Linked DNA regions of Xenopus tropicalis. The protein of the gene in region 7 interacts with the protein of the main gene of each other region in a biochemical or structural test. Links are inferred from orthologs where the notes say so. Each region holds a gene or a part of one and is shown on either strand. Other genes may lie near its edges.

Region 1 (3,500 bases), on a different chromosome or scaffold from region 7:
GAGAGTAGATAAACCCACATCCCCCATTTAAGCGAAACAAAGTGCCAAACAACCTGTATGAGTTAGAGACAATTAAGCAAACTTATATCTTTCCAAAATAAAATGCCAATGGCAAACCCCTTTCACCTGAAATAGTGGGGGCATGAATCCTAGCAGCAAACCTGTGGTCCTAGTCAAAGAACACAGGTTAGGAATCCTATAAATAAGTAAATTTTATCAGTAGCCAATGTCCTTGACTATATTTTTGATGTGTGGAAAGAAACAAGAGCACCCAGACATGGAGAGAACACAAATTTCCTAGAGTGCCCAAGCTGGAATAGAACTACTCAACTGAGCCGTTGTGCTGCCCCATTTTTACATTAAGGGACAAATAATGTCATAAAGTGAAAATATTTGTTCTTACATCCAAAGATTCTATATGTTGATCCAGAACCTAAAAAAACTATTCTTGGCAACAAATGTCCTGTTTTATATGAGGTTTTTAGTCTACAGCTCTGTAAAGAGACTTGGATTGCATTGGACTTCTGTTTTTTCCTGTGTAAGAACAAAACCACTCTAATCTATAGAGCTTATTTATTGTGTAAACCTGCATCAGTAAGCCCTAGTTCAACTTGAATGCCCCCAATGGCTTAATATAATATAGTATAGTTAATATAGTAGTGTTTCTGAAGCAAACATTTATGGCAATAGAACACATTTAATTACTATAAACACAAATGTTTCAGTGTTGCCATTCCTTAAAGGGATACGGTCATGATTTTTATAGCATACTTTTTATTTCTAAAATTGCACAGTTTACATAGCAAATTATTCACTACACCATTTAAAATGTTATTCTTGAACCAACAAACGTATTTTTATAGCTGCAATATTGGTGTGTAGGCAGCCATCTCAGTGCATTGTGCCTGAGTCTGAGCTTTCAGAAAGAGCCAGCACTACACATTAGAAAGGTTATCTGAAAGCCGATTGTTTCTCCTACGCAGTGTAACTGGAGGAGTCCGAAGACTGACTTGGGATTTCTTACTATTGAGTGCTATTCTGATATCTACTGGGAGCTGCTATCTTGCTACATTCCCACTGTTCTGCTGGGAGGGGGGTTGATATCACTCCAACTATCAGCTCAGCGGTAAAGTGTGACTGATGTTTATCAGAGCACAAGTCACATGGCTGCAGCACCCTTGGAAATGAAGAATATGGCTAGCCCCAAGTGAAATTTCCAAATTAAATATATATATAAAAAAAAAAAAACTGTTTTTGAAAGACTGATTTCAATGCAGGATTCTGCTGGAGAAGCTCTACTAACTGATGCATTTTGAAAAAAACATGTTTCCCATGACAGTATCCCTTTAAAGACCATCCTTGATAACTTGCAATATACAAAAGCTTATTAAAAACTTTCAACAGGATTAAGCTGTCACCAGTCTAAATGTGCATTAGACATTACAACAAATTGAATGTATGGACTTATTTACAGGAATTGGTATATTCACAGAAACTTACCCTGAAATTGTGAAGCTACTAGCTGCTGGTTAAATGTCACTCGAAAGCTGTTTCTTGGCTTTTTCTTACACAGCGGGCAACTTTTCTTTTAAATTCACCGTTACGGTCTTCTCTCCACTCTTTCTGTACATGCACAATACAATGCATTTAGTTAAATGCCGAGTTGTACAACACCATATTCCTTACACAATCAGATTATCTTTTGCATCCAAGCCAGAGACCAGATCTTAACATTATGCATGTAAAATACTTATATAAATAAATGAAAAGTAAGGCTTTTTTTGTTGGAAGGGAGAAAAATCCCAAACGTTACCCGACTTAAGTGGTCTACCTAAAAGCTGCCTACAACAATTAAGTTTCTTTATAGGACCGTTTCAGTATTGCTTTAATACCAACCCTCCCCCAAAATCACACTTTTTTTTTTTGACGGTCAGCTCCTATAAAAGGCTACTCTGTGCTCCCTATGCCCAGATCATGTATCAGAGATAACAGTCTATCATCTGATGCAACAAGGGATAGAATATAAAGTTTCAATTACATTTTTCATTTAATGATAGTTCTTCATTGGATACCTGGTATTGTAAAACAACATCTCAAGTGCAGCACTTTATACTTTTCTGTGTCATTTGGAAAGATACTGCAAGTGGACTGTGCACTCAGCTGAAAGTACTGCAGTGCACTTAAGAACTTCTTTCCACATTACCTATAAGGGTTTGATGTATCTGCACTGTTTGGCAGTATTTTGCACTGATACCTAGTCATTGCAATCCTACAATAGGACTGCCAAAACAACCCTGAAATATATTGGCGGAATGGTAGATTTGCAAGATTGCCAGGGCCTATTTTGGATCCCAGTCCAGACCCCATTGCTGATTACATCATGTGGGGCCTGGGAACAGTGAGAAATAATATATCAATTTAACTTCTTAGTAATTCTTTGATGATGCCCCTGCCTCATGGGTGCAACCTTGGTGGTTCAGTGGTTGGGGAGTAGGGGAGAATGTATGTGGATTATATAAGGAGCTGTAGCTGCACTGTATTACTCTGCTGAAAGACAACTCTGCACATAAGCAATACGGGCAGATATTTCTGCATCAGTGTAAATCCCCAGTAATATGTAATTTCCAGTGGGTGGCAAACAGTGCAGCAGCACCACCAGCAGACAGGAAAATGGCACTAGCCATTTTGCAGATCAGTGGGAAAAAACAAAAAAAAAAAAAACACCCCACTAACTACACCAACATTGTACAGTTATCCAATGTCACCTGATTTTAAGGATCAGGATTCTGTACATCCCTAACAATTTGTTTCATGTCATGCAAGGAGTTGGTCTTTACACGTTTCAAATTTAGAGACCAGCTACAATTCCACAATTTTGTTTAAAAGCTTAAATAAGATTTGTTTATTCATTTGTGCCCCGTTCCATAACGCATTATGCATAATTGATTTGATGGCTTGGAATCAGATCCATTAAAAATGGATATCAATTGCTCTCATACAGTTGTCTAACCTTACTAAACAAATGATCAGTTCTGAGCTAAGGCAAAGAGGACGTTCTGAACATGAGGCAACTGTAATGCATCAGGGATTGCACTTTTGAACAAAAGCAATTTTAGGAACAAATCTAATTTATGGGTTAACTATGTTTAACCAGTGCTCCTCTGGTTTCTCAGCCATTGCTCGCTCTCAATATAACCCATAAAAATCACAACACAGCATGTATCAGTCCTATAAGCAACAACCCAAATTAAAGTTTTATACATTGATCCAGAGAGCCCCTTTGTAGAAAATAAATTTACATATAAGAAAGTATATAAGAATGTACCGCTGCATCCACATTTGCTGGAGAGTCTCCATTAGGGTCTGCTAGCATAGAAATTACACTGATCATTATGGTTTCCACTGTATGGATAGGTAGCCAGCGCTCCTCAGGTTTCTCGTAGCCATATTTGTCTTCTCCGGGTTCGTGAAGAATGGAAATACATACATCACCATTCTTA
Region 2 (3,966 bases), on a different chromosome or scaffold from region 7:
GCTACCCTGTGATCTACTCTTCCCACCGGGCCTCCGTCATGAGATCTACTACAGTTATAATAGTGTGAAGTCTATCATTTGGAGCAATAAGCAAGAGAAAGTATCAATCGATGTTTAACAAATACACATAGCAATATATAAATGCAGTGCCAACTTCAAGTTTAATGTGAAAGGATTGTAGCAGTTTCCCTTCTTCATGGCTCACTTTGTAGTCTGCACACAGAAACATATATTAAGTGGGAGCAAATATATACAGTGGCTTGGTGGGGACAATCTGCTACACTGGAATGAAACTACAAAGACGGATGGCTTGAGCAGCAGCACTCAAAAGCCCCAGTATGCTGGGGGGGGGGAATGATGCGGCAGGATGTCATCCCACTGCATTGCACCTCGAAGTTTACCAGAAACTTTAAAGTGATCTACTGGTAGACCGCAATCTACCTTTTGGGCACCACTGCCCTAAGGCATAAAACACCTAGGGTCATTGGAGATGTTTTAATGTAACTTTGAAAAAAAGTCTTTTTTACTTTTCAAAAAAATTTGTGACCCCTGTGGAGTTTCGAGAGAGATCATATGCCCCATGGTGGTTGTTGCTTTTTGATATTTTCAAACCTGCAATGATTGATGAACCAAGTGATGGGCAAAGTACATAGATATTGGTTGGGATCATTGGTCACTTCACATGTACCAATACCCTGATTGATATGCCCCCCAGCCCCAGAAGTGGCCCCTGCCAACCTACATTGCCAGTTCTACCTGTGAACTCCCTGACAGATATGCACCCCACCCCCAGATGTGGCCCCTGCCATCCTACAGTACCAGCTCTGCCTGTGAGTCCCCTGACAGATATGCTCCCCACCCCCAGATGTGGCCCCTGCCATCCTACAGTACCAGTTCTGCCTGTGAGTCCCCTGACAGATATGCACCCCACCCCCAGATGTGGCCCCTGCCATCCTACAGTACCAGTTCTGCCTGTGAGTCCCCTGACAGATATGCTCCCCACCCCCAGATGTGGCCCCTGCCATCCTACATTGCCAGTTCTGCCTGTGAACCCCGACCGATATGCTCCCCACCAGATGTGGCCCCTGCCATCCTAAATTGCCAGATCTGTCTGTGAACCCCCTGACTGATATGCCCCCCACCCCCAGATGTGGCCCCTGCCATCCTACATTGCCAGTTCTGCCTGTGAGTCCCCTGACAGATATGCTCCCCCCACCCCCAGATGTGGCCCCTGCCATCCTACATTGCCAGTTCTGCCTGTGAGTCCCCTGACTGATATGCCCCCCACCCCCAGATGTGGCCCCTGCCATCCTACATTGCTAGTTCTGCCTGTGAGTCCCCTGACAGATATGCCCCCCCCCCCCCCCCAGATGTGGCCCCTGCCATCCTACATTGCCAGTTCTGCCTGTGAGTCCCCAGACAGATATGCTCCCCCCACAGATGTGGCCCCTGCCATCCTACAGTACCAGTTCTGCCTGTGAGTCCCCTGACAGATATGCCCCCCCCCACCCCCAGATGTGGCCCCTGCCATCCTACAGTACCAGTTCTGCCTGTGAGTCCCCTGACAGATATGCTCCCCCCCCAGATGTGGCCCCTGCCATCCTACAGTACCAGTTCTGCCTGTGAGTCCCCTGACAGATATGCTCCCCCCCCAGATGTGGCCCCTGCCATCCTACAGTACCAGTTCTGCCTGTGAGTCCCCTGACAGATATGCACCCCCCCCCCCAGATGTGGCCCCTGCCATCCTACAGTACCAGTTCTGCCTGTGAGTCCCCTGACAGATATGCTCCCCCCCCAGATGTGGCCCCTGCCATCCTACAGTACCAGTTCTGCCTGTGAACCCCCTGACAGATATGCCCCCCCCCCAGATGTGGCCCCTGCCATCCTACAGTACCAGTTCTGCCTGTGAACCCCCTGACAGATATGCCCCCCCCAGATGTGGCCCCTGCCATCCTACAGTACCAGTTCTGCCTGTGAACCCCCTGACAGATATGCTCCCCCCCAGATGTGGCCCCTGCCATCCTACAGTACCAGTTCTACCTGTGAGTCCCCTGACTGATATGCCCCCCCCAGATGTGGCCCCTGCCATCTTACAGTACCAGCTCTGTCTGTGAGTCCCCTGACAGATATGCTCCCCCCCAGATGTGGCCCCTGCCATCCTACAGTACCAGCTCTGTCTGTGAGTCCCCTGACAGATATGCTCCCCCCCAGATGTGGCCCCTGCCATCCTACAGTACCAGTTCTGCCTGTGAGTCCCCTGACAGATATGCCCCCCCCCCCCCCCAGATGTGGCCCCTGCCATCCTACAGTACCAGTTCTGCCTGTGAGTCCCCTGACAGATATGCTCCCCCCCCCCAGATGTGGCCCCTGCCATCCTATAGTACCAGTTCTGCCTGTGTAGCACCTACAAACCCCATGACCATAAAGCACAGCGCACACAATCAATACAAATGTCCCGGAAGTTATTCCTAAAGACATGTCCGTCTTGAGATAAAAGCTCCTCCGAGTGTCACCTCTTTATCCGCAGCACGCACTGATTAGATGCCCTCTCGTTATCCCAGTCGGCGCTGGCTGTCGGGTCCCACACCGAGGAGGTTGTCAGAGGAGATGTCCCAGGCGCTTGGAGCCCGCTCAGATGAGGAAGGACACCCCCACCTGCCGCAGCTCCTGGGAGGATAATCGCTTCAGCCGCTGGACTTTCCGCCATTCCGCTTCTCACTTACTTCCGGGACTCCAGAGGAACAAGACTACGGGGAAGAGAGAGTACAGCCAACATAGAGACAACAACCAGAGTGTCTGCGTATTTCCACCGGAAGTTGTGGATTACCAAAACTAGAGGGCACGTCTAATGCAGCGTATTAGTGAGTAAGAGTGAGAGGGGTTCTTCCTGCGGAAACTGTGAGCCGGCTTATCCTATTGGTGTGTATCCCTCACTCACACACTGTGAGCCGGCTTATCCTATTGGTGTGTATCCCTCACTCACACACTGTGAGCCGGCTTATCCTATTGGTGTGTATCCCTCACTCACACACTGTGAGCCGGCTTATCCTATTGGTGTGTATCCCTCACTCACAAACTGTGAGCCGGCTTATCCTATTGGTGTGTATCCCTCACTCAGGAACTGTCGGTGCCTAGGCTGTAAGTAGCCATTTTGTTGGTTTGTGTGGTCATGTCTCCGAACGCCCAGACCCTTGGTGGATAGGAAAATACATACAAGTTACATGACTGTCTAATACTTTTCTGTCTCTACAAAAGACCTTGTTTTAAAGCTGACCAACTGCCCAGACGTATTTCAGTGATCTCATAACTAGGAGTTGGTTTCCATACAAAATGTTCGAGCTCTGTAGGGCAGTCATAGAACAGGCAAGCTGCACAGTGAAAGGTCATTTACTGGGGGGGGGGAGACAATCTTCTCTTAAGTACCATCAGGACTCTAAATACAGGAGAAGACACACAGATATACAATAGTATGAACAAAAGTCTTACAAACTAACATTAATTCTGTCTTATTTTTATAGTCACTCCTGTTTTATAGCCCCCCCCCCCCAGGCCTATGCTTTCCTTCCCAAGCCCAAGCCCAATCAGTGTCCTGTGTTCTTGCTTATCCAATATTTCAACCTATCAGTGTCCAGTGTTCTTGCTTATCCAATATTTCAACCTATCAGTGTCCAGTGTTCTTGCTTATCCAATATTTCAACCTATCAGTGTCCAGTGTTCTTGCTTATCCAATATTTCTACCTATCAGTGTCCAGTGTTCTTGTTTATTCAATATTTCAACCTATCAGTGTCCAGTGTTCTTGTTTATTCAATATTTCAACCTATCAGTGTCCAGTGTTCTTGTTTATTCAATATTTCTACCTATCAGTGTCCAGTGTTCTTGTTTATTCAATATTTCAACCTATCAGTGTCCAGTGTTCTTGCTTATCCAATATTTCTACCTATCAGTGTCCAGTGTTCTTGTTTATT
Region 3 (4,265 bases), on a different chromosome or scaffold from region 7:
AAAAAAAACAACTGCCCAGGCTGGCCAAACATGGGGCAATTCAAGAGAATTTGGCTGGGTTGGTCCTTGAACATTGCAATCATATCACACAATCTGGCCACACTTGAAATGACCAAACAGGACAATTGTTTGGCCATTAGAATACAGGACAAGATAGCAATTGTTCACTTCTAGGATGGCAGAAAGCATCAATAAAGTGTTTTTTTTTTTTTTTTTTTTAAATCTAATGGGGACAAGATTGACACATACACAAAAAGGCCAACACTGTGCTCAAAACATTGCTTTATGGGTCCATTCTAAAAGACCAATGTTTAATGTTATTAAAATAATGATGTCATACAAAGAATACAGAATGCCTGGGCAGGCTAGTGGCAATAATAAAAGTCTCTTGGAGGGCCCCATTCAGCTTGCACTATGCCCGTTAAAGCATATGAATGAATTTACCATGCTACTGAAAAGAGTGCTGCAATGTGACTAAACTTAAGGTGGCCATACACGAGCAGATCCGCTCGCTTGGCGATGTCGCCAAGCGAGCGGATCTTCCCCCGATATCCCCACCTACGGGTGGGCGATATCGGGGACCATTTAGGTAAAAAAAATAATAATCCGATCGTTTGGCCCTGGGGCCAGACGATCGGATTATGTGGGCGGCAATGGGGCAGTCGGATCGGGGACCGCATCAACGAGCCGATGCGGTCCCCGATCCGACCAGATTTTCTAACCTGGCCGATCGAGATCTGGCCAATTCCAGGCCGATCTGCTCTCCCCATACACGGGCCGATTAGCTGCCGAATCGGTCCAAGGGACCGATATCGGCAGCTATAGTCGGCCCGTGTATGGCCACCTTTAATCTGCCCCATAGATAAAACTGATACTTACATGTTACATAGAGTGATAAGTAAGTAACCCAAGTTCTGCCTAAAAAAGTACCACTAATAAAACTGTTTAACATGGATACCATTGCAACTAATCGCTGGCTCACTCTGCTTCATATGGCAAAGGTGGGCTAGAACAAATGTTCAACCAGTTGAGTACAACAAAAACGTCTAGCTTGTGCTCTACTCTGCAGTCACATTTTCTGCATGGCCAAGGCACCTAACCTCAAGGGTGCACAGTCCCACAAGTCACTTGGTAACCTGAAAACTGATGACCCTTTAGATACACAGTAACCTCTATGTAATAACTCAGGCTAAATCTGTCTCTCTGCCATTGTCACCCTACTTTTTGGTTCTTTCCATGTTTATGCACTCCCTAGAGGATTATTAGAAAGCACATGCCAAACAAAACATGGAAAGCGGTGTAAGGGCAGAACGTATGTGAAAAAAAAACAGCTTTAATTTCAATCCAAGCTGCATCCATTAAAAAGACACACAAATTCATGTCAACACTCCCCGTGGGAACCCGAGCTGCATTTAATATCCTGTATCAAGTGGTTTATTACCTTTTAGCACTAGTGGACAGCTTAGCAGTGGTTTTACTGGACAGTTTGGTATTTTTCTTTTGTTGGACCGCCGAGGGTTTTCTTTCTTCTTGCTCTTCAGGTTCTGGTGCTGGTGGGTCTCGCTGGTCAGCATCTGAACTTCCACTACTGGTACTAGGGCTTTCATCATCTGAGCGCTGTCTATCACTAGACATCTTGATGGATTCTGTTTCTTCTGGATGCAATCTGCCGAGACAAGCCAAGAAGTGTGTAGGTGAATGGGCAGGTTTAACTGCTTAGATTTGATACATCTGTTGCACACAATACAATGTAACATTTAGGTGCCATTGAAGCTATAACAGGTACCCACTCTGCCTAATTCTGATTTATCAATGCATTAGCACCCAAAGCCAAGCTTTTGTAGAGATAATTAAGATTAGGATGTCAGTCCATTACTCACATCACCAACTGATAAAGACTACATTCCCGTTCCCCATGTGTAGCAGTTAAAGGGCTCCAGAACTCCAATCCCATGTGAAATGTATAACTCTCCAAAAGTTTGTTATGATTTGTCTTGTTAGGGGGGAGGGGGAGTATGCAATTCCTACTTTTTGCCCGTTGGCATGTACCCAATTAAGGAAGAGGAGCAGGGTTTTAATATTTACCCCAGCCTGGACACTCCAGCTTAAAGAAACAGTCCCTGGCCATTTCAGTTTATCAGGGTGCTTCAGGTTTGTTGTTCAACAAGCACAGCAGGGGGGTTCTGATTGGACATACCTGGGGGGGCTTTATCCTACATAGGCATGGCTATACAGGGCTTTATTTACCAACAGAGCATAGACTGGCCATCCCTGATTTACTCTTCATATCAAATGAATACTTCCTCAAAGTGCCACTCTGGAAGGTCCATACAACAGATCTGCTAAACTAAAACTCCCAGATGCCTCTCTGTCAGCAGTGGAGCTGTTTCTCCAGAAAGGGTCAGGTTAAACAGCCCTGGTCACGGTGAGGGGGGCTCTATAAAGCCAAGGAGGGGGCCGTGCTATAGGGATTGGGGAGGGAGGAAGCAGCCTTTGTGGTGCTTGGGGGGCTGTGAGACTGGGCAGTAGGACTGGCACAGACAGGCACCACAGGCGTAACTTCAACTCCCAGCGTTCCCTTCCAGCACAGCTGGAGCAAGGATGCTGGGAGTTGTAGTCCCACAGCAGCTGGAGCGGTAAGGGTTACCCTCAGCCCCGCACTAGGATATCAGCATGGTGTGTAGCAAGTGAGGCGTGAAGTCAGGGCTAGCACCCTCCTCCTCCTCGTTGCCTTCTCCGGGGCTGAAAACAAGAACAAAGCTGTCCGTCTCCCCGCCTCCCTCCCCGCTTCCCCCTTTACCTTCCGGGCGCGCCGGTCCCTGCTCTCCTCACGCCGCTGTGTGTGCCGCTGCCGCCGGGAGATCCTGGGAACGCAGAGCCGGGGAAACGAGCAGGCTCCGGCCGGCTGCCGAACATTGAGAGTCGGAAGAAAGGAGGAGGAGGAGGTGGGGGGGGGAGGCTGCAGTGCGTTCCCGCAGGCTGGTGGCGGCGCTGCTGAGCGCGGTGGGAGGCGCGGGAGCGGGCGGATTCGGGAACAGAAGAATCGCGAACTCTCCGGCTCGTGCCCAAAGCGGCCGCCGCGGGGTTTTCCTGTTCCCTTAGCCCCGCCCCTATCCGCGCAGACCCGCCCCTTGGCTCCTCCCCCGCCCGGCGCAAAACACTGGAGTCAGCAACTTCCTGCGCGCTCCCTGGGCTCGTCCCTGTGCGGCCGGCTGCCGGGTTCCCTCAGTGCCAAGCGGGGACAATAGAGTTTGCGCTGTTTAATGGCACGTTGTACTGAAGCGAGAGGCTGCCGAAAAGTTCCTACGTTTCGTCATCATTTAAACGCCTGGGGGCACTACTTCATATAGGTCTAGGAGAGGAAATACTCCTGTATTGTGCTGACCAATCACAGTTGCGGTAATGCTTGGGGGGCTAAGGAAGATATGATTTGATGGGTTCTGCTTCCACCCAATCACTATGCTTGTAGTAAGAGAGGACCTTAAAATGAATGCAAAAGAGGAGTTCAAAGATGTCGTGTTTATTTGGGTTTGTCCATCCAGTGCCTTGGCCTTTTCTGTCTGTATATCAGTGGCTCAGGGGCAACATGTTGCTCCCCAACCCCTTGGATGGTGCTCTCAGTGCCCCCAAAGCAGGTAGTTATATTTGAATTCCTGACTTGGGGGCAAGTTTTGGTTGAATAAAAACAAGATTTACTACCAAATAAAGCCCCTGTAAGCTGATAGTGTGCATAGAGGCTGCCTAATAGCCAATCTCAGCCCTTATTTGGCTCCTCCATTAACTTTTATGGTGCTTGTGTTGCTCTCCAAGTCTTTTTACGTTTGACTGTGGCTCTCTGTATGAAAGGTTGGGACCCGTGCTGTAAGGTATTACCTCTGCGGGCCCCTACGCATCATGCATGCTCAAGGGCAATATGGCAGGTAGCTTCATTTTTAACAAAAAGTTCAAGAATAATACATTATGAAAAATAAATATAATTCAGTAAGATGGAAGGGCTTTCCTAGCTGATGAAAGTGAGGTTTTTTTAATTCTAAAGTTATTGCAGATGTTTTAGGAATGGTACCCTCTCCATATAAATGGCCCATTTGTAGAGAAGAAACAGCTCTTTAGTCAATTTCAAGTGCACAAGAGCCTCCACTTCTGTTTATTTAGGAGCACAAAGTACAAATGATTTGGGGACTCCTACCTGCTAACTCAGTGAATAGAAGGATAAGAGATACAACATAGGGCAAAGGTGGCATACACGTGTAGATTTTTAAAAGATC
Region 4 (4,211 bases), on a different chromosome or scaffold from region 7:
AACACTACGAAAAAATCACAACTTTTTGCGCAAGTTTTAACGCTACGAAAAAATCACAACTTTCGGAATGGCTACGAAAAACTCGCGTTTTTCCGCAAAAATCGTATTGGTAACGAAAAAGTCGCGATAATTTTCCGAAAAAATCGCAAAATACCGATCATTACGAAAAAAACGCAATCGGACGCATTCGGCCTGTTCGTGAGTAAGTAAATGGGCCCCTTAGTTGAGCCTTCTTTTGCAAATGTAACAGCCTCTAGACGCCTCCTATAGCCTTTGATGAGTGTCTTGGTTCTCGATGGCGGTATTTTTGACCATTCACCCATACAAAATCTCTCAGTTAAATTTGATGCCTGTTGAGCATGGAAGTTTCCTCTCAACGCAACTTCTGCGATTTCAGTGAAATCGCGCCACCACGTATGCCATCCCACCGGCGATTTACACTTTCGCCGGTGGGATGGCATTTCTGGGAGATTAGTCGCCCGGGAACAGGGAGATTTGTCGCGGGCGACTAAGCTCCCCGTGTGCCAGAGCCCTTAGGAAAAGTTGGGGAAATTGCTTGTAGCATCAGGAGACTGGGGGAGGGACAGTGCAATTAAGTAACTACCCAGATTATAGGGGGAGTTGCAGAGCTGTCAACCTCCGATAGTCAAGGATGTGCAGTGTTATTTTTTCGTGCTAACCAGAAGTGATGTCAATACATGTGCATAACTGACCTTTGAAGCTGAAAAATTGTTGATTGCGCATATGCAAATGCTCACTATGTTGTCACTGAATGCACATGCATGAATTTAATGAGAAAAATCAGAATGCTATCAACAGACCAGAGACATGGGAGAGAAAGCCAAATTGGGTAACTCAGAAAAATATAGGGGGGTTGACAGCTCTGTGTAAGCACATATGGGGACTCTTCAGTGGAAGATTATTTTAGTTTCCCCCTTGCTGGACAGACTTTTACATGGGGTGGAAAGGGGTGGTATGACAGGAACAGTTTATGGCAACTACTCTGTAACATTAGAGAAGTACTGCTCTCCTTCTAATGACTTGACTGGGTTAGTTAACATCCTTGTTACAAGAAAACGTCAAACGATTGAAATTTGAGCAAAGGTATTTTATACTTTTCACGTCGTAATAAAAACAAAAAGTATAATAAAAAGTATAACTTCAAGATAATACTCTTTCCTGACAGAACTTTCCCACACACGTATTATTTATTTATTTATTTATTTTGATAGGCAACGGAATTCTTCCAATCACAATAAAGCATAGCAGTCTACTTTAGCCAATCCCGTACCTTTGTTTAAAACGCCTACGCTTCCGACACCAAACTTGCCAGTCTCTGCGGAAACCGTTCTGTGAGCATTCCGATTGGTTAAATTAAATATTTAAGCGACGCTGATTGGACGCTTTGTGTAGAAGTTAAAAATTTCAAATAGAGGGCGGTAGGTTTAGTTACAGAATTAAGAGGAAGCGTCAAAGATCTCTGGGAGTGGAAGCCGGATACTCAGCAACGTTCAAGGCCCGGTTTTTGTCATTTTTACATACCGATGGCTTCACAGAATGTGGATCCAGCTGCGGCCAGCTCGGTGACTGCAAGGAAAGGACAAGAGTCGGGGACCTCGGCCGCCCGTGGCTCTGTGGGAAAGAGGTGAGGAGAGCCGGCTCTTGGGAACAATGGCCGCTGTGCTTATGGCGATGGCAGTGTAGCTGGATCTTGGCACACCCTCTGTATAATTCAGATGGGTCACTTGAGATATTTTGCTATCAAATTTTATTCAGCTTATAGCAGCTATATCTCTGTTTTCTAAACTTCATTCATTTTACGTATCTCTTCCACTGCTTAGTTACAATATACAGGTTTTCTCTACTCCCTTTAATATCCGCTACATTGTCTACAGTGTCACATCCTGTTTTTGGTCCAGATCTGTGGCTGCCATGGTTAGTAAATTGTTCTGATCCAGCTTGCAGTCAAATGAGTTTAGAGTTTAGTGTCAGTTCTAAAACCAGTCCAAAAGTCTGAAAGTAGCCCAAAAATAGGCCAAAATGTGCAAGTATATATGGGAAACATGCCTTTTTAAAGCGTATAATCACTACCCAGTTACTGGGAATGCTGATAATTCCCTGACCTCTGTGCCCAGTCCAGCTGGGAAGACTACAAAATTAGATTCCGAATGTTGCATTAACCCCAGACATGAGATACATATGGGTGTGCTGAACTACAACTCTCAGCAGTCCCAAGATATCCGGAGAGTTATATCTTAATGATCAACTGCAGAACTGCCCCCACATCACAGCAGAAAGTAATAGTACAATCACATACCCTATAGAGCAGGTTGCAGAATATACAGGTTGACCCTGAAAGAGCAAAAAGGAATACAAAACAGAGCCTCTATCTATACTGTCCAATTGCATGCTGGGTATTGTAGTTTTATATTAATCCTAACTGTAGATTAAGGCTCCAAAAAATAGCCCCAAACTGTTCCTTGGTGGGTTTGTACCTTGGAAACCTGCCAGGGCTTTAAATTGGTAGCCCAATTTTGCAGAAACACCAACCTGGCAACTCTGCTGCAAGTGTGGCCATTAAGGAAAGCACCATTGACTTGGGGAGGGGGGTAGGCAATATGTAAGACACCCCCACCCAATGGCTGTAATTGCTTAAAGCCTTAAACAAAGGTAGTGTTATTTTACATGCCATCCCAGGCAGACTTCAGCTGCTAATTTGGCCACTTCAGACCTAGTCTGTAGCTTATCTGCCTATGTATGGGGCCTTCAGACTGTCTGAAACTGGATCAGACATTGATAATGCACTGACTTGGTGTGCCATTCACTGGGGTGGGGGGGGGGGGTTGCAGTCATGGTCCTGTAGCCAGAGGGTGTTTGGGGTAAAGGATTCTGGTCTAAATCTAGAATAATAAAATCATATGTCTAAAGGTGGCCACACACCTTTTTGAGATGGGTCAGTCTATCGGACTGGACGACCTTTTGGCTAACAAAGTGTAGTATCGAAATGAGAAACACTTGGTCCTCTGGCCTTTAGGTTGTCAGGCGGAAGCTTGATGAAAGCAGAGGAGCTGTGTTCCCATAAGGGAATGCCTGACATATTTTAGTTGGGGACTTTGCACATGCACCTTCTGCTTAATTATGCTTAACTTAATTTGCCCTGGCAATTAGGACGGCGGGAGGCATTTTTCTTTTTGGCCGCCAGCTGGAGCCTTACCAAGGCAATCCATGGCATTGCACTCGCACACTTCAGCACCTGTCTTGTTTGATTTGTGCACCATGGATTGGTGTCATAGTCCTCTGGGTTTGACCCCAGGCCAAGACCTGATGGGTCTCACACTAGCTTCGGCAAAGGTGGACGTACCCGCCCATGCTGTTCATTGGTGAAAGCCTTGGACACATGAGCATTGGAGCCCAAGCCTTCACATAGGACTCACGCAATGAGTCAATATTATCATCAGCCTGGTGGAGCATGCACAGAAGAGGAACTGGAGATTTTGTTCATTAGAGTGCGTGTCACTGTTGACCTCCAGATTCCCTTCCCTGTATAAAACCATCAGCAAATGGCAACCTTAGTTTATGGTTGCTATAGCTGCCTGCTGATTGTGATTGCACCGATCTGCAATCTTTGTTTTCTCCAGTGATGGTTCTGTCTTCTCCCACTTCCCCAGCTGCCTGCTACTGCGCAGAAATGGCTAAATTGGCTAAATATTTAAGTTCATTTCTAGTATGTTATAGAAAGGCAAATTATAAGCAGCTTTTCAAGTGGTCTTCATTTATTTTTTTTTATAGCTTTTGCCTTCCAACTCTTTGCAGCTTTCAAATAGGGGTCACTGACCCCAGCAACCAAAAAACTATTGCTCTGTGAAGCTACAGTTTAATTGTTGTTGTCAGATTATATTTCTCTATTCAGGTGTTCTCCTTTTCAAATCAGTCTTTCATTCAAATCACACCCTGGCTGCTAAGGTAATTTGTATCCTAGCAACCAAATAGCTGCTGAAACTCCAAGCTGAAAAGCAAAAGCTGAAATAATCTACAAATTTGCAATTGGTCTTCATTTTTAATTCTCAGAATATTACTATCTACATTATACTTAAAGTTAACTCAAAGATGGACAGCTTCTTTAAGATGTAATGGAAGGCAATATGGTGGCCGCAAGTTCAGCTGGCCAGAATAGTTTAAAGCCCAAACAGGGATAAGGTATGTATTGTGTT
Region 5 (4,283 bases), on a different chromosome or scaffold from region 7:
TATAAACTATAGGGGTGTTTCTAAAGCAAAAACACAACTTTTACCAGTACAGGGCAGCAGTACATTATGTTTTAAATAGGTAATTCACCTTTATTACAGGTTGGGACAAATGATAGTCATTTATATGATTTTTGTAAATTTGGTTTAGCGTAAAAAAAAATTGATATTTGTAAAATATCTACCTGCAAAATGAGTGCTGCAAAGATCCTTAAGTCTCTGCACTCTGCCCAAGGCAGGGGATCGGATCGCTGACACCCTGGCTGGGCAAGGTCCTGTCTACATTATTCTGACAGTCCCAGCAGAGTAAATGAAGAGTAGGCATTGATTACTACTGTGCAAGTGCCATTCATCTGAATATCTGTGATATGATTGGCAAACAGGAATCAGCGAATCTGATCAATGACTAGCAAAAAAAGCAAGAGAAGGGTATACACAGAAGCAAGCATAGCCTGTACCGCCCTGCAATGGCAAAGCTATGAGACTTTATGCAGCACTAACTTTGAAGGTAGATATTTTGAAAAGGATCTGTTTTTAAATTGAACCATATCTCTCTGTACCAAACTGAAATAAAGGTGAATCACCCCTCTAACGGCTTAGATATATTTTTTGTTTTTGGTCTAACTACTACCAAAGAGCATGACGTTTACTATTTAGTATTAAGAAAAGCTGCCATCTGCCCTGTTCCCTGACCACCAATGAAAGTAATGTGGAGGTTGGGTTCTGAGACAAGACTGTGGAGCAGATCAACATAGCTGCTCTCAGATGGTAGAGTGGTTTAGACTACTTTTTGAATGCACATACAAAACTGGTCCTTTGCAGGTCACACACAAAGTTATTTTTATGTTTACTTGCAGCTTAATTAGAAATTGCAATAAAATAATCATAATTTGCATATGTGATCAGAGTTGACATGGTTGTTGTGTACAGTGTATAGACAGTGATGTCCAACACTCAACCCATCAACCAATAAGAGGAAATGAATAAAGATTAGATTAATACTAATATTTCCTGGTGCAGCCATCATTCAGTCTGGCTGGGGAGACAGACAAATGACTGATTTGTGTGCGTGTGTATAATCATTTCTGGAAGGAAAGTTGACCCTTCTTTGGCAGCCATAGGTAGTAACAGGCCCGTACTGGGATTCAAAATAGGCCCTGGCATATTAAGTAAACAGAGAACCATATAGCCCCCACACCAGCTCACTAAATAGTGAATGCCTATGGCTTCTTACAGCAGCCCCTCTGGCAATTGCCAAAATCTACAGCCTGCCAGTCTGGGCCTAGGCAGTAAACCACATCCTCAAGACAAAATGGGGTCTTGTAATGAACACAATATCACAAAAAAAAACACGTATTTTCCGTATGCATAATTTATGGATTTGTCATGGGAGTACCATAGTTTTGCATTGCTTTTCTTCTGAGTAAAAAGGCATGTCTCTGTAAACTGATAGCTGGTCTGTATATAGATTGTAAGCTCTACGGGGCAGGGACCTACATCCTCTTGTGTCTTTGACTCTTAACTTATTGCAACTGTATCTTGTATTTATTGTTATACTTTGTATTTATCTATTATGTTATAATAACCCCCCCGTTTGTATTAATGTATTCTACTGTACAGCGCTGCGTATATAAGTAGTGCGTTATAAATAAAGATATACATACATACATAAGGTCTCATTAACTACAACTCCCAAAACTTCTCACCCTAAAAATTTCTAGATGTTTGTTTGGCCATGCTTGCACAAACTATGGAAAAGTACTAAGTAGCATATATTCTGGCACACTGCTGTTAAATTACATACAACTACAACCCTGCATTCATGCACTAAACTACAGAACCAATCAGATCTTTGCTTTCATTTTCTACCTTACAAACACAAAATAATCAAAACATATGGGATGTGGGTTGCTAAAGGCATCTGCACTGGTGCAGCCTAGCAGGTGTGCAAGAAAATAAACCTAAGAAAGCATCACATGGGCTAATATACCTGACAGACAGCCAATGTTCTGGATACAAAACATTCAGGCACCAGTAACTCAAGTGTACCCCTTACAGGCAGACTGGCAACTATACAAATAACTATGTAGGGTCAAAGACACAGACCATTATGCATGCAGCAACCACTGATTATTGTGGTAGGTGATTTAAACAGTACAGTGTGTAGATCAATGAGTTATACAGTAAAGAGTCTACCTATGGCCCTTTAGGTGTTTCTGAGCCCACAGCTGCTGTTAAAAGGCATACATTCACAATAAACCGAGGGCTATGTTAAAGAAATACTACAGAACTAAAACAATATACAGTCTATACACTGTTTATCCCAGAGACCCCCAGATGATGGAAGCACATACAGAGTACTTTGTCAGCTGTTTAGTGTGTGCATGGGTGAACGGTAGTACAGCAGAGCAAGCCATAGCTGAATACACAGTGCAACTTGCCCAGCCGCCTAAAGACTGGACACATTAGGGCGCTCGCAAAAGATAGTCAGGCTTAACCTAAGTTCAGCTAGTCACTTGGTATATTCCGTGTCTGGCCCGTTGCTTGCATACGATGGGTATACACACCGTGATGTTGCAGTGGATAGTGAGAGCTCCCCCCGTACTTTGGATAAAAACACAGTGTAGCTCGTCCAGCCTCCAGCTGACGATCCGGAACCGTTCGTGCTCCTTTCCGAAAATGGACTCGAGGAGCCGCAGCTCGGCCTTCAGCCCAGACACCGACATCTTGGCTTCATTTCCGCCCGGCGGAGGCCCGAGTATTCAGCGGGATCATGCCCCGGGCCCGAGCTCTCCGCCCGGCCTACAAATAAGAAAGAGGGTCTAGCTTCCCTTTGTATGCGGAGCTACGCCACCGAGGGCCACCGAGCGGAAGGCTTCCGGCGCAATGACGTAACAGACGGGGCTTTACCGAGACCAATGCGCAAGCGCGCCGCTGTTAAGGGAGCGCTTACCATTAACGCATGCGCGAAACTTTAGAGCCGCAAGAAAACTTTAGGGGCCGTTCTGTGTGGTATTTACCCAGTTCATGCGCATAAACATGGTATTTTTGAGCATTCTGGCAGCAGGAGAACGTTTAGTGGCTTCAACATGTAGAAATGCGTAGCTGTAAATGTTAAAAAAAATTTTTTAAATCCTAAACTCCTGAAATGATAGTGCATATAAATTGGCACGACTGTTATATCAACTGTTGTTTAATCAACGCGTAGGCTGAACTTTATGTTTAGCAAAAGCTCTAAAAGGTAAGTTATATATCTGAAAGTCACCTCAGAGACACCATAGAGGTTGTATTTACAGCAAAGTACCTCTCACATGTCATTGGGTACTAACATAATAAATATGAATGCCAGCAGTCTTCTGAACAGTTAAATTGATAATGCACAGTATAGGGCAGTGCTGCCTCAGGGGTCCTAGCCGCCCCCTCACTCCCCCTGTGTTTAGGTTTTTCACATGGGGGGGCGCATTGCTAGTGTTGAGAGCGCAATTGTCCTCTCGGCACTAGAGGAGCCGAAATTCTGATTTAAAATCAGAATTGCGGTTCTTTAAGTTACCAGGAGCAACTTTTTTCCGTCCCTGGTAACTTGCTGGGTGCTGCCGCCTGAGGCGAGTTTCTCAACTTGCCTCACGGCAGCAGCGCCCCTGGTGTAGGGAGCCATAGGGTTAATATACCCCTATGGTTTAAAACCCTATGCTTCCTTGTTCCACTGTTAATGGGCAGAGACCCATGTAACAGGTTTTCCTATTTGCGCATTATTGATCCATAGGTTAGACCACTCTAACATAGTGTTTGCAAAGGGTTGGATCTTCCTTATTGACCTTAAAGACCCTCTCCTTCCTACCCCTAGCCCATGCTCCCTTCTCTTGCCCCTGCCGGTTGTCATTACACGGTGGTGCAATGACTCCCTCCTTGCCGATCCCCGCCTGATGGAACTGCGGTGGGGGTGGGGTGGGGTGGGAAGGCCGACCGGGTTGCCTAGGGCCTGCCACTGTGGTTTACCATTTAGAACTTTTTTCATGTTTGCATTGCTCCCCAACTTTTTTTAAATGTTGCTCATGGGTAAAAAAAGGTTGGGGACCCCTGTTCTACATCAATATATCCATACTATTGACATTTTATGTGTCATAAGGGTTCCAAAGAGTATACAACACACAGAAAATCATGTTTTTGTAGATTACACAATCTGTGAACTCCAATTCAAATAAAATCCATCCAATAAACTGCAAAGCTTTGCATGGCATCTTATTCCCACATGTCCTTAAGCACAATGATAAAACATCATGAATTTA
Region 6 (4,151 bases), on a different chromosome or scaffold from region 7:
AACCTTATTTTCTGCTTTATAATTTGTAACAACCCCTAAGCTTAGCTTCTCAGCCACTGCCCAGAGCACACTGAGCATGTGAGTGTCACAGACTCTTCTAACAGAGTCATTCCCTGTGACAACTCTGAAATACTGGATCAGTACTATAATAAATATGCTAAACCTTTAGGCTGGAGCAATAAGTCCAGTATATAAAAACTTCCCAACTTCTTGCCATATTAATTTTTAAGGGTTTAGATCTCCTTTAACAAGGAATGTAACTTTAAAGCAAGCACACCCTGTGACTGTTGGGAGCCTGCTGAATAATAAGTAGTTTCATTATATGTATATGAAAGATATTATTTCTAATTTCAAGGTGTGCCAAAATGATTTTTCAGGGCCTAGTAACTTCTACTTATGCTACTGTTTACAACACCGTACATGGAGTAGGAAGCAACTAGTCTTTAACTAGTAGTAGTGAAGTGGCATTTTACAAAGTGTAGCACCGGCCTGATGGAAAGTGTTGGGGGCACCCAATAAATTGCCACCCACTGAATCTAAGTTTCCCTGTCCTTTAAAGTGCACCTATGACCCTTTAACTGCTTCTCCCACCAGAGGTGCAGGCTAATAGACGCAGCACTTTGGTTGAGGGAAAACGATAGTTTGGTTTTTAAAAAATACAGCAACTGCCATTTCTAGGCTGCCCGCACCTGAATGAAGCTCCCAGTACAGGCAACCATGTTGTTTGCCATGCGTGGGCATAATAAATGCGCCTTTCCACTTGCAGATGATGCGCATGCGCCTGATCTAGGCGTGGTGGATGCAATTCACCCTCCATCACAAGCATGCACATAATAAGCAACTTGTGGCACTCACTCATTATGCACATTGTGAGAAATGAGGCAATATGGCTGCCCACACCTGGAGCACTCTTCTGCTGCAGGCAGCCTAGCAATGGTAGGAGCTTTTTTTTTTTTCACAAAAAGCTATTGTTTCCCTAACCTCTGATGAGGGAAACAATTTGAGGGTGATAGGTGCCCTTTAAGGTGAGCTGTATTAGAAGGTTATATTCTAGGAGATTAAAGGATATATTCACTGTTCATTCAGAAACTTTGTGTCAAGTTGAAGTTTTCTACTGCACTACTAAATAAAAGCTCTGTAAATCACGTTTCCCCACTAGAAACCAACATCTAGCTTTGTTCCCATCAGCCTCAGCAAGACCCCTCCTTCCTCCGCTCAGATTACACTTCCCTCGCACCAGTGCGTCACAGTGTTCGTGGGCTTGTGGGATTTGTAGGCTGCTCCTCCCACAACGCCGTGGCTTCACTTGCAGTTTCCGGCACCCGTTACTCTTCCAGCCAGCAAGTTAATTCGCAAAGCGGCTCCGTTGTGCCGTAACATGTCGTAATAAAGCCTTTAGTCGTCTAGCAGCCCCTTCTTGCTAAAACACCAAAAGCCTACTGATCCCATCCTGCCCTACGCGGAGGACGCTGTGGGCTCCTGGTTAGAAAGCGGGGAGCGGAACTACCATGGCCCGGCCGGTGGCGCCGGTGCCCAGCTCTCAGAAGGCCTTGATGCTGGAACTCAAGGGGCTACAGGAAGAGCCGGTGGAGGGGTTCCGGGTCACCCTGGTAGATGAGGGGGATCTGTACAACTGGGAGGTGGCAATCTTTGGCCCCCCAAACACCCTCTATGAGGGGGGGTACTTCAAGGTGAGGGTTAGGTGTGTGTGAAATGGTGGAGTTCGTGATCATAGGGGCCTTGGGGAGGGAAAGCCACGCTGGGGGGTATTTAAAGAGGCAGTAAGTAATAGAGGCGTGGGTGGGTATTGCGTACATCGCTGGGCCTTTCTGCACAACAAGCTTTCCTTTGTTTATGTGACTCCTACAGCCATAGCCGTAACTTGCCCGAAACTAATGTTTCACATGAAACTCAACCAGCCCTCAAAGCTACCCCAAAACTAAAACTTACTGAAAGAGTGTGGCACTACTAAATCTTTAATCCTGTTTTCTGCGAGTTGTAGTCCAACAACAGCTGCTAGGCCCCAGCCACAGGATGCACGGTGTTAGAAAGCAATAAAGGCCTTTGTGTAACAGGAAAACGCTCTAAACTCTTCATCTAACTTCTGATTTGGCACTTTGTGTTTGTGGAGATACCCTGGGTTTATATGTATTCATCCTGTGCCTATTTCATAAAGATTTTCAGAAGATTAATCAAACATAGGCGTTCCACTCTTTTACATTTTAGTATGCCATACTAGCTACATGTATGAAGCCTCATTCTTTTAAGGATTAAAGGGGTCTCTATACTTAGTTTTGGGCAGTTTTGTTAAGATGTGCCTTCTATAGTGTGTGTGTATATATATATATATATATATATATATATATATATATATATATATATAATATTAGTTTCAAGGGACTACTTATTCCTAGACATTTGCACAGATCAAGAAATTTAATAGGGGTTTATAATGAGATGTTAAATGGCTAGAACAATGTAATTGTGTTTTACAGGGGTGGTTCACCTTTAAGTTAACTTTTAGTATCTTATATAAAGACCTATTCTAATCAACTTTTCGAATATTCTTCATTATTTGTTTTTCATAGTTTCTTAATTTATTTGCCTCCTTGTCCTAACTCTTTGCAGCTTTCAAATGGGGTCACTGACCCCTGAGCCAAAAAAAAATCATACTAAAAAGTTAAGTCAAAGGTGCACAACCCCTTTAAAGGGGTTGTCCACCTTTTACTTAATTTTTAGTATGATGTAGAGCGTAATATTCTGAAACAATTTGCAACTGGTTTTCATTTTTTATTTGTAGTTTTTTTTAATTATTTCAGTTTTTGGTTGTCTCCAGCTTGGAGTTTCAGCAGCTATTTGGTTGCTTGGATCCAAATTACCTAAGCCACCATGGTGTGATTTGAATAAAAGACTGATATATAAATACGAGAGGGCCTGAATAGAAACATAAGTAATGTACAATAACAGTTAAACTATAGCTTCGCAGAACAATAGTTCTTTGGCTTGGGGGTCAGTGACCCCCCTTTGAAAGCTGCAAAGAGTAAATAATTCAAAAACTATGAAAAACATAATGACTAATTGAAAAGTTGCTTAGAATTGGCCTTTCTATAACATACTAAAAGTTAACTCAAAGGTGAACCACCACTTTCAATATATGTATAATATACATATTATTAGGGATACACTGAATCCAGGATTTGTTTCGGCGTTTGGCCAAGATTCTGCCTTTTTCAACAGGATTCGGATTCAGACGAATCCATGTGCCTGGTTGAACCAAATCTGAATCCTTAAAATCACTATTTCTTTATGTAAACCCAGAAGTTGAACATTTTTATTCCTTTTATAGGTTAGTTTTCAAATGCAAATTAGAGTTTGGTTCGGTATTAGGCCAAATCTTTTACAAAGGTTTGAATCATAAAACTCTGGAATTGGTGCATCTCATTATCCAGCCTCCCTGGAACTGAAAACAGACCTTATTTTTTATTTACTTATCATTAATCTGATGACAGCTGAGCTTGCTTACCCATCATGCAGTTCTATAAGTATGAGATCTATTATTCTGAAAGCTTTTGGACATAATTCAAATCTTTTATTGGGGCCTCTTGCATGATAGCCACATTCAGAGTGCCAATGCACCCTCATTCAATAGGATTTTCAAACTTGCCGTATTGAAAATTGATCAGCTATTGGTCAGACGGGCCCTATACACGAGCCAATAAGCTGTTAATTTGGCCTGGAGGCACTGACCTAGCAGCTTTTATTGGCCCGTTTATGGCCTGCTGAAGCATTTAAAAATAAAAACCAAGATGATCTTTTAGCCAGAAACATGGATTTATGTTAGCTTAGTTATCATAAAGCACAAGATACTGTTTTATTGTTACTACAGAAAGAGAGCAAACAAGTAAAAAATTAATAAATTACACTTTTTTTTTTAATAGACTGAAATTTGGTTGATCTACTCTTAGATATGTTGCTTGAGAACCATTATTTTGTGCTAATCGGAGCTACGGTGTGTTATAACAAAGGCATGGATCTCAACCATACTCACTTGCTTGTTAACCATTACATGTTCTTTTTGTCCTAGGCCCGCTTAAAATTTCCAGTTGATTACCCCTACTCTCCTCCTGCGTTTCGTTTTTTGACAAAGATGT
Region 7 (4,130 bases):
GCTGGCCCTCCAGTCCCTCCCCCCAAGCATTCCCATCTCTATCTAAGCCATTAGCCCTGCTGGCCCTCCAGTCCCTCCCCCCAAGCATTCCCAGCTCTATCTAAGCCATTAGCCCTGCTGGCCCTCCAGTCCCTCCCCCCAAGCATTCCCAGTTCTATCTAAGCCATTAGCCCTACTGGCCCTCCAGCCCCTCCCACCAAGCATTCCCAGTTCTATCTAAGCCATTAGCCCTACTGGCCCTCCAGCCCCTCCCACCAAGCATTCCCAGTTCTATCTAAGCCATTAGCCCTGCTGGCCCTCCAGTCCCTCCCCCCAAGCATTCCCAGTTCTATCTAAGCCATTAGCCCTGCTGGCCCTCCAGTCCCTCCCCCCCAAGCATTCCCAGCTCTATCTAAGCCATTAGCCCTGCTGGCCCTCCAGTCCCTCCCCCCAAGCATTCCCAGTTCTATCTAAGCCATTAGCCCTACTGGCCCTCCAGCCCCTCCCACCAAGCATTCCCAGTTCTATCTAAGCCATTAGCCCTACTGGCCCTCCAGCCCCTCCCACCAAGCGTTCCCAGTTCTATCTAAGCCATTAGCCCTACTGGCCCTCCAGCCCCTCCCACCAAGCATTCCCAGTTCTATCTAAGCCATTAGCCCTACTGGCCCTCCAGCACCTCCCACCAAGCGTTCCCAGTTCTATCTAAGCCATTAGCCCTGCTGGCCCTCCAGCCCCTCCCAGTTCTAAGCCATTAGCCCTACTGGCCCTCCCACTAAGCGTTCCCAGTTCTATCTAAGCCATTAGCCCTACTGGCCCTCCAGCCCCTCCCACCAAGCGTTCCCAGTTCTATCTAAGCCATTAGCCCTACTGGCCCTCCAGCCCCTCCCAGTTCTATCTAAAACCATTAGCCCTACTGGCCCTCCAGCCCCTCCCACCAAGCATTCCCAGTTCTATCTAAGCCATTAGCCCTACTGGCCCTCCAGCCCCTCCCACCAAGCGTTCCCAGTTCTATCTAAGCCATTAGCCCTACTGGCCCTCCAGCCCCTCCCAGTTCTATCTAAGCCATTAGCCCTACTGGCCCTCCCACCAAGCGTTCCCAGTTCTATCTAAGCCATTAGCCCTACTGGCCCTCCAGCCCCTCCCCCCAAGCATTCCCAGTTCTATCTAAGCCATTAGCCCTACTGGCCCTCCAGCCCCTCCCACCAAGCGTTCCCAGTTCTAGCTAAGCCACTAGCCCTCCAGCCCCTCCCACCAAGCGTTCTCAGTTCTAGCTAAGCCATTAGACACCCCCCCGGCTGCCAGGTTTACTGGGGGCCCAACATAGTTGTTCATGGAGTGAGGGGGGGACCCCACAAAGACACGGGGGGGGGGGGGGGGAGGACCTGGGATGCACAAAACAGTAACTGTGTATAGGGAAAGCTGCCAATCTATACCAGAAGGCACACATCTGTACAGCTGCCCATTCTGATTGGCCCACTCAAAGGCTGCAGTCACATGGCCATAAAGGCCAAGGAGACCCGGAAGAGTTGTCAGCACAAAATCCGCTGATCTGTTGCTTCTCCAACAAGCAATTATATTAGGGCTGCATGTGAGTCTCACGGGATTGGCCGACAGCAGTCACCTGGCCATGCTGAACAATACAGGGGTCTGGGGAGGTCAAAGGTCACTGAAGTTACACAGACTGAAAAGGGTTAAAGCTACTGGGCAGTTTAACCTCCCAGAGAGAAAAAAGTCCCCAGGCCTTGGTTCCACACAGCAGAGGGGCCCCCAGCAACAGTCGAGGAGCCAAACCCTGCAGCCAATAGGAAGAAAGCCCCCCCGAATAACATGCAGCCAGGGAGGGTCTTATACTTACAGCTGCCTCGAGTAGAGACCCTCGTCTATCTCAGCAGAATTCCCGTTCCGAGCCATCCCCTGCAATAAATCCATTGGGTTAATCTGGGGGCCACATTAGAGCCCTCCCCTGCAATAAATCCATTGGGTTAATCTGGGGGCCACATTAGAGCCCTCCCCTGCAATAAATCCATTGGGTTAATCTGGGGGCCACATTAGAGCCCTCCCCTGCAATAAATCCATTGGGTTAATCTGGGGGCCACATTAGAGCCCTCCCCTGCAATAATCCATTGGGTTAATCTGGGGGCCACATTAGAGCCCTCCCCTGCAATAAATCCATTGGGTTAATCTGGGGGCCACATTAGAGCCCTCCCCTGCAATAAATCCATTGGGTTAATCTGGGGGCCACATTAGAGCCCTCCCCTGCAATAAATCCATTGGTTAATCTGGGGGCCACATAGAGCCCTCCCCTGCAATAAATCCATTGGGTTAATCTGGGGGCCACATTAGAGCCCTCCCCTGCAATAAATCCATTGGGTTAATCTCGGGGCCACATTAGAGCCCTCCCCTGCAATAAATCCATTGGGTTAATCTGGGGGCCACATTAGAGCCCTCCCCTGCAATAAATCCATTGGGTTAATCTGGGGGCCACATTAGAGCCCTCCCCTGCAATAAATCCATTGGGTTAATCTCGGGGCCACACTAGAGCCCTCCCCTGCAATAAGCCCATTGGGTTAATCTCGGGGCCACATTACTACTGGCCCCCAGCTAGAAAGCCAAGGGTACAGGTTGACTCTGAGCAAAGTAGAAAGGGGTTAGAATATGGCGGCACAGCCCGGGGGGCACTCACGTTGGCCGGCGCAGTCTGATCGGTGCTCACGGAGTTGGAGGATGAGCAGTTTGAACCCGTCTTTGTCTCAGATCCGGACACGCGACGCTTCTTGGACAGCGGCGAGCTGGACATCTAACCGGGAGAAAAGATCAGGTCAGTGTATGCGGTTGTACAGGGCTGGTACCGTAGCAGGGGCGGGGCACGAGGGACGAGCAAGCAGGGGCGGGGCACGAGCAAGCAGGGGGGGGGCACCAGGGACGAGCAAGCAGGGGCGGGGCACCAGGGACGAGCAAGCAGGGGCGGGGCACCAGGGACGAGCAAGCAGGGTGCGGGGCACCAGGGACGGAGCAAGCAGGGGCGGGGCACCAGGGACGAGCAAGCAGGGGCGGGGCACAGGACGAGCAAGCAGGGGCGGGGCACCAGGGACGAGCAAGCAGGGGGGGCCGGCGAAGGGGGGCACCAGGGACGAGCAAGCAGGGCGGGGCACCAGGACGAGCAAGCAGGGGGGGGCACGAGGGACGAGCAAGCAGGGGCGGGGCACGAGGGACGAGCAAGCAGGGACGGGGCACGAGGGACGAGCAAGCAGGGGCGGGCACGAGGGACGAGCAAGCAGGGGCGGGGCACGAGGGACGAGCAAGCAGGGGCGGGGCACGAGGGACGAGCAAGCAGGGGCGGGGCACGAGGGACGAGCAAGCAGGGGCGGGGCACGAGGGACGAGCAAGCAGGGGCGGGGCACGAGGGACGAGCAAGCAGTGTGCGCAAACACAGAGCAAATACAACAATTTCTGTAACTCTATAATGAATATTATAGAATGTCAGCTCTTGGGCAGAACAAGCAGCTCCTGTTGGGCATTACAAAGCTGCCATGCTGCAGGTATTGCCCCACCTGGGGGTGAGAGAAGGTACAACGGCAGGGAGACGGGGGCAGGCACAGCAGTGAGACTGCAGGAAATTCTACGGTATCTCTGGGGCCCAGGAAGGGTTTGGGGCCCCACCATTTGGCGTTTGCCCCGTATGAAGCCTGGCATAACCTACCCAGCATACTGTACCCCCCCCCCCCCAACATGGGGCAAAGCGGCTTTACACAGGCCTCTCTAGCAGTAGCAGCTGTACTCACACAGTGACACTCACAGGCGCCCAACTCATCCCCACGCAGCCCAATATAATAACACCCCTATACTATTTGTGCCACCCTCGCCGCACAGCTAAACCCCCCGTGGCAGCAGAGCGAGCAATCAAACAGGGTGACCCCCAATGCAATTGGTCTTTATTTCCACGTTTCTGCCCCCAACAACTCAACTCAATGGTACAATGTAACCAGGCTAGAAATATAAGCTCCTCCTACTTATATTGGTATCCTGGCACCAAAAGGCTGTGGGTAACCTGAACAGAGAACCCACAGTGGGGTGGGACAGTGGGACAGACCGTATCAGGGTCGGTGCCGGGACAGAGGGACAGACAGTATCAGGGCCGGTACAGAGGGACA

What was found.
Region 1: of the proteins of uba1 (region 7) and ube2g1, one has a biochemical effect on the other in vitro, tested with the Homo sapiens proteins (3 studies listed by BioGRID, with this or other methods). The link is inferred for Xenopus tropicalis from reciprocal best matches to the Homo sapiens genes UBA1 and UBE2G1.
Region 2: of the proteins of uba1 (region 7) and ube2z, one has a biochemical effect on the other in vitro, tested with the Homo sapiens proteins (3 studies listed by BioGRID). The link is inferred for Xenopus tropicalis from reciprocal best matches to the Homo sapiens genes UBA1 and UBE2Z.
Region 3: of the proteins of uba1 (region 7) and ube2e3, one has a biochemical effect on the other in vitro, tested with the Homo sapiens proteins (3 studies listed by BioGRID, with this or other methods). The link is inferred for Xenopus tropicalis from reciprocal best matches to the Homo sapiens genes UBA1 and UBE2E3.
Region 4: of the proteins of uba1 (region 7) and ube2c, one has a biochemical effect on the other in vitro, tested with the Homo sapiens proteins (5 studies listed by BioGRID, with this or other methods). The link is inferred for Xenopus tropicalis from reciprocal best matches to the Homo sapiens genes UBA1 and UBE2C.
Region 5: of the proteins of uba1 (region 7) and ube2q2, one has a biochemical effect on the other in vitro, tested with the Homo sapiens proteins (3 studies listed by BioGRID). The link is inferred for Xenopus tropicalis from reciprocal best matches to the Homo sapiens genes UBA1 and UBE2Q2.
Region 6: of the proteins of uba1 (region 7) and cdc34, one has a biochemical effect on the other in vitro, tested with the Homo sapiens proteins (7 studies listed by BioGRID, with this or other methods). The link is inferred for Xenopus tropicalis from reciprocal best matches to the Homo sapiens genes UBA1 and CDC34.

Annotation. Positions count from the first base shown.
Region 1 is NC_030678.2:101,249,464-101,252,963, reverse strand, and holds part of ube2g1 (ubiquitin-conjugating enzyme E2 G1), read right to left. Parts: coding exon 3,326-3,500; intron 1,624-3,325; coding exon 1,537-1,623; 3' UTR 1,501-1,536; intron 1-1,500. UniProt on the Homo sapiens protein: Accepts ubiquitin from the E1 complex and catalyzes its covalent attachment to other proteins. In vitro catalyzes 'Lys-48'-, as well as 'Lys-63'-linked polyubiquitination. May be involved in degradation of muscle-specific proteins.
Region 2 is NC_030686.2:12,230,080-12,234,045, reverse strand, and holds the start of ube2z (ubiquitin-conjugating enzyme E2 Z), read right to left. Parts: upstream 2,801-3,966; 5' UTR 2,708-2,800; coding exon 2,514-2,707; intron 1-2,513. Other genes in the region: uncharacterized protein LOC101731254, read left to right, coding at 2,849-2,861. UniProt on the Homo sapiens protein: Catalyzes the covalent attachment of ubiquitin to other proteins. Specific substrate for UBA6, not charged with ubiquitin by UBE1. May be involved in apoptosis regulation.
Region 3 is NC_030685.2:62,866,566-62,870,830, forward strand, and holds the start of ube2e3 (ubiquitin-conjugating enzyme E2 E3), read right to left. Parts: upstream 2,801-4,265; intron 1,667-2,800; coding exon of another isoform or gene 1,636-1,666; coding exon 1,442-1,635; intron 1-1,441. UniProt on the Homo sapiens protein: Accepts ubiquitin from the E1 complex and catalyzes its covalent attachment to other proteins. In vitro catalyzes 'Lys-11'- and 'Lys-48'-, as well as 'Lys-63'-linked polyubiquitination.
Region 4 is NC_030686.2:19,654,190-19,658,400, forward strand, and holds the start of ube2c (ubiquitin-conjugating enzyme E2 C), read left to right. Parts: upstream 1-1,411; 5' UTR 1,412-1,544; coding exon 1,545-1,645; intron 1,646-4,211. UniProt on the Homo sapiens protein: Accepts ubiquitin from the E1 complex and catalyzes its covalent attachment to other proteins. In vitro catalyzes 'Lys-11'- and 'Lys-48'-linked polyubiquitination.
Region 5 is NC_030679.2:90,108,054-90,112,336, reverse strand, and holds the start of ube2q2 (ubiquitin-conjugating enzyme E2 Q2), read right to left. Parts: upstream 2,801-4,283; 5' UTR 2,724-2,800; coding exon 2,565-2,723; intron 1-2,564.
Region 6 is NC_030677.2:105,629,502-105,633,652, forward strand, and holds the start of cdc34 (ubiquitin-conjugating enzyme E2 R1), read left to right. Parts: upstream 1-1,351; 5' UTR 1,352-1,508; coding exon 1,509-1,691; intron 1,692-4,084; coding exon 4,085-4,151. UniProt on the Homo sapiens protein: E2 ubiquitin-conjugating enzyme that accepts ubiquitin from an E1 ubiquitin-activating protein, and catalyzes its covalent attachment to other proteins by an E3 ubiquitin-protein ligase complex. In vitro catalyzes 'Lys-48'-linked polyubiquitination.
Region 7 is NC_030684.2:525,443-529,572, reverse strand, and holds the start of uba1 (ubiquitin-like modifier-activating enzyme 1), read right to left. Parts: upstream 2,801-4,130; 5' UTR 2,777-2,800; coding exon 2,663-2,776; intron 1,894-2,662; coding exon 1,835-1,893; intron 1-1,834. UniProt on the Homo sapiens protein: Catalyzes the first step in ubiquitin conjugation to mark cellular proteins for degradation through the ubiquitin-proteasome system.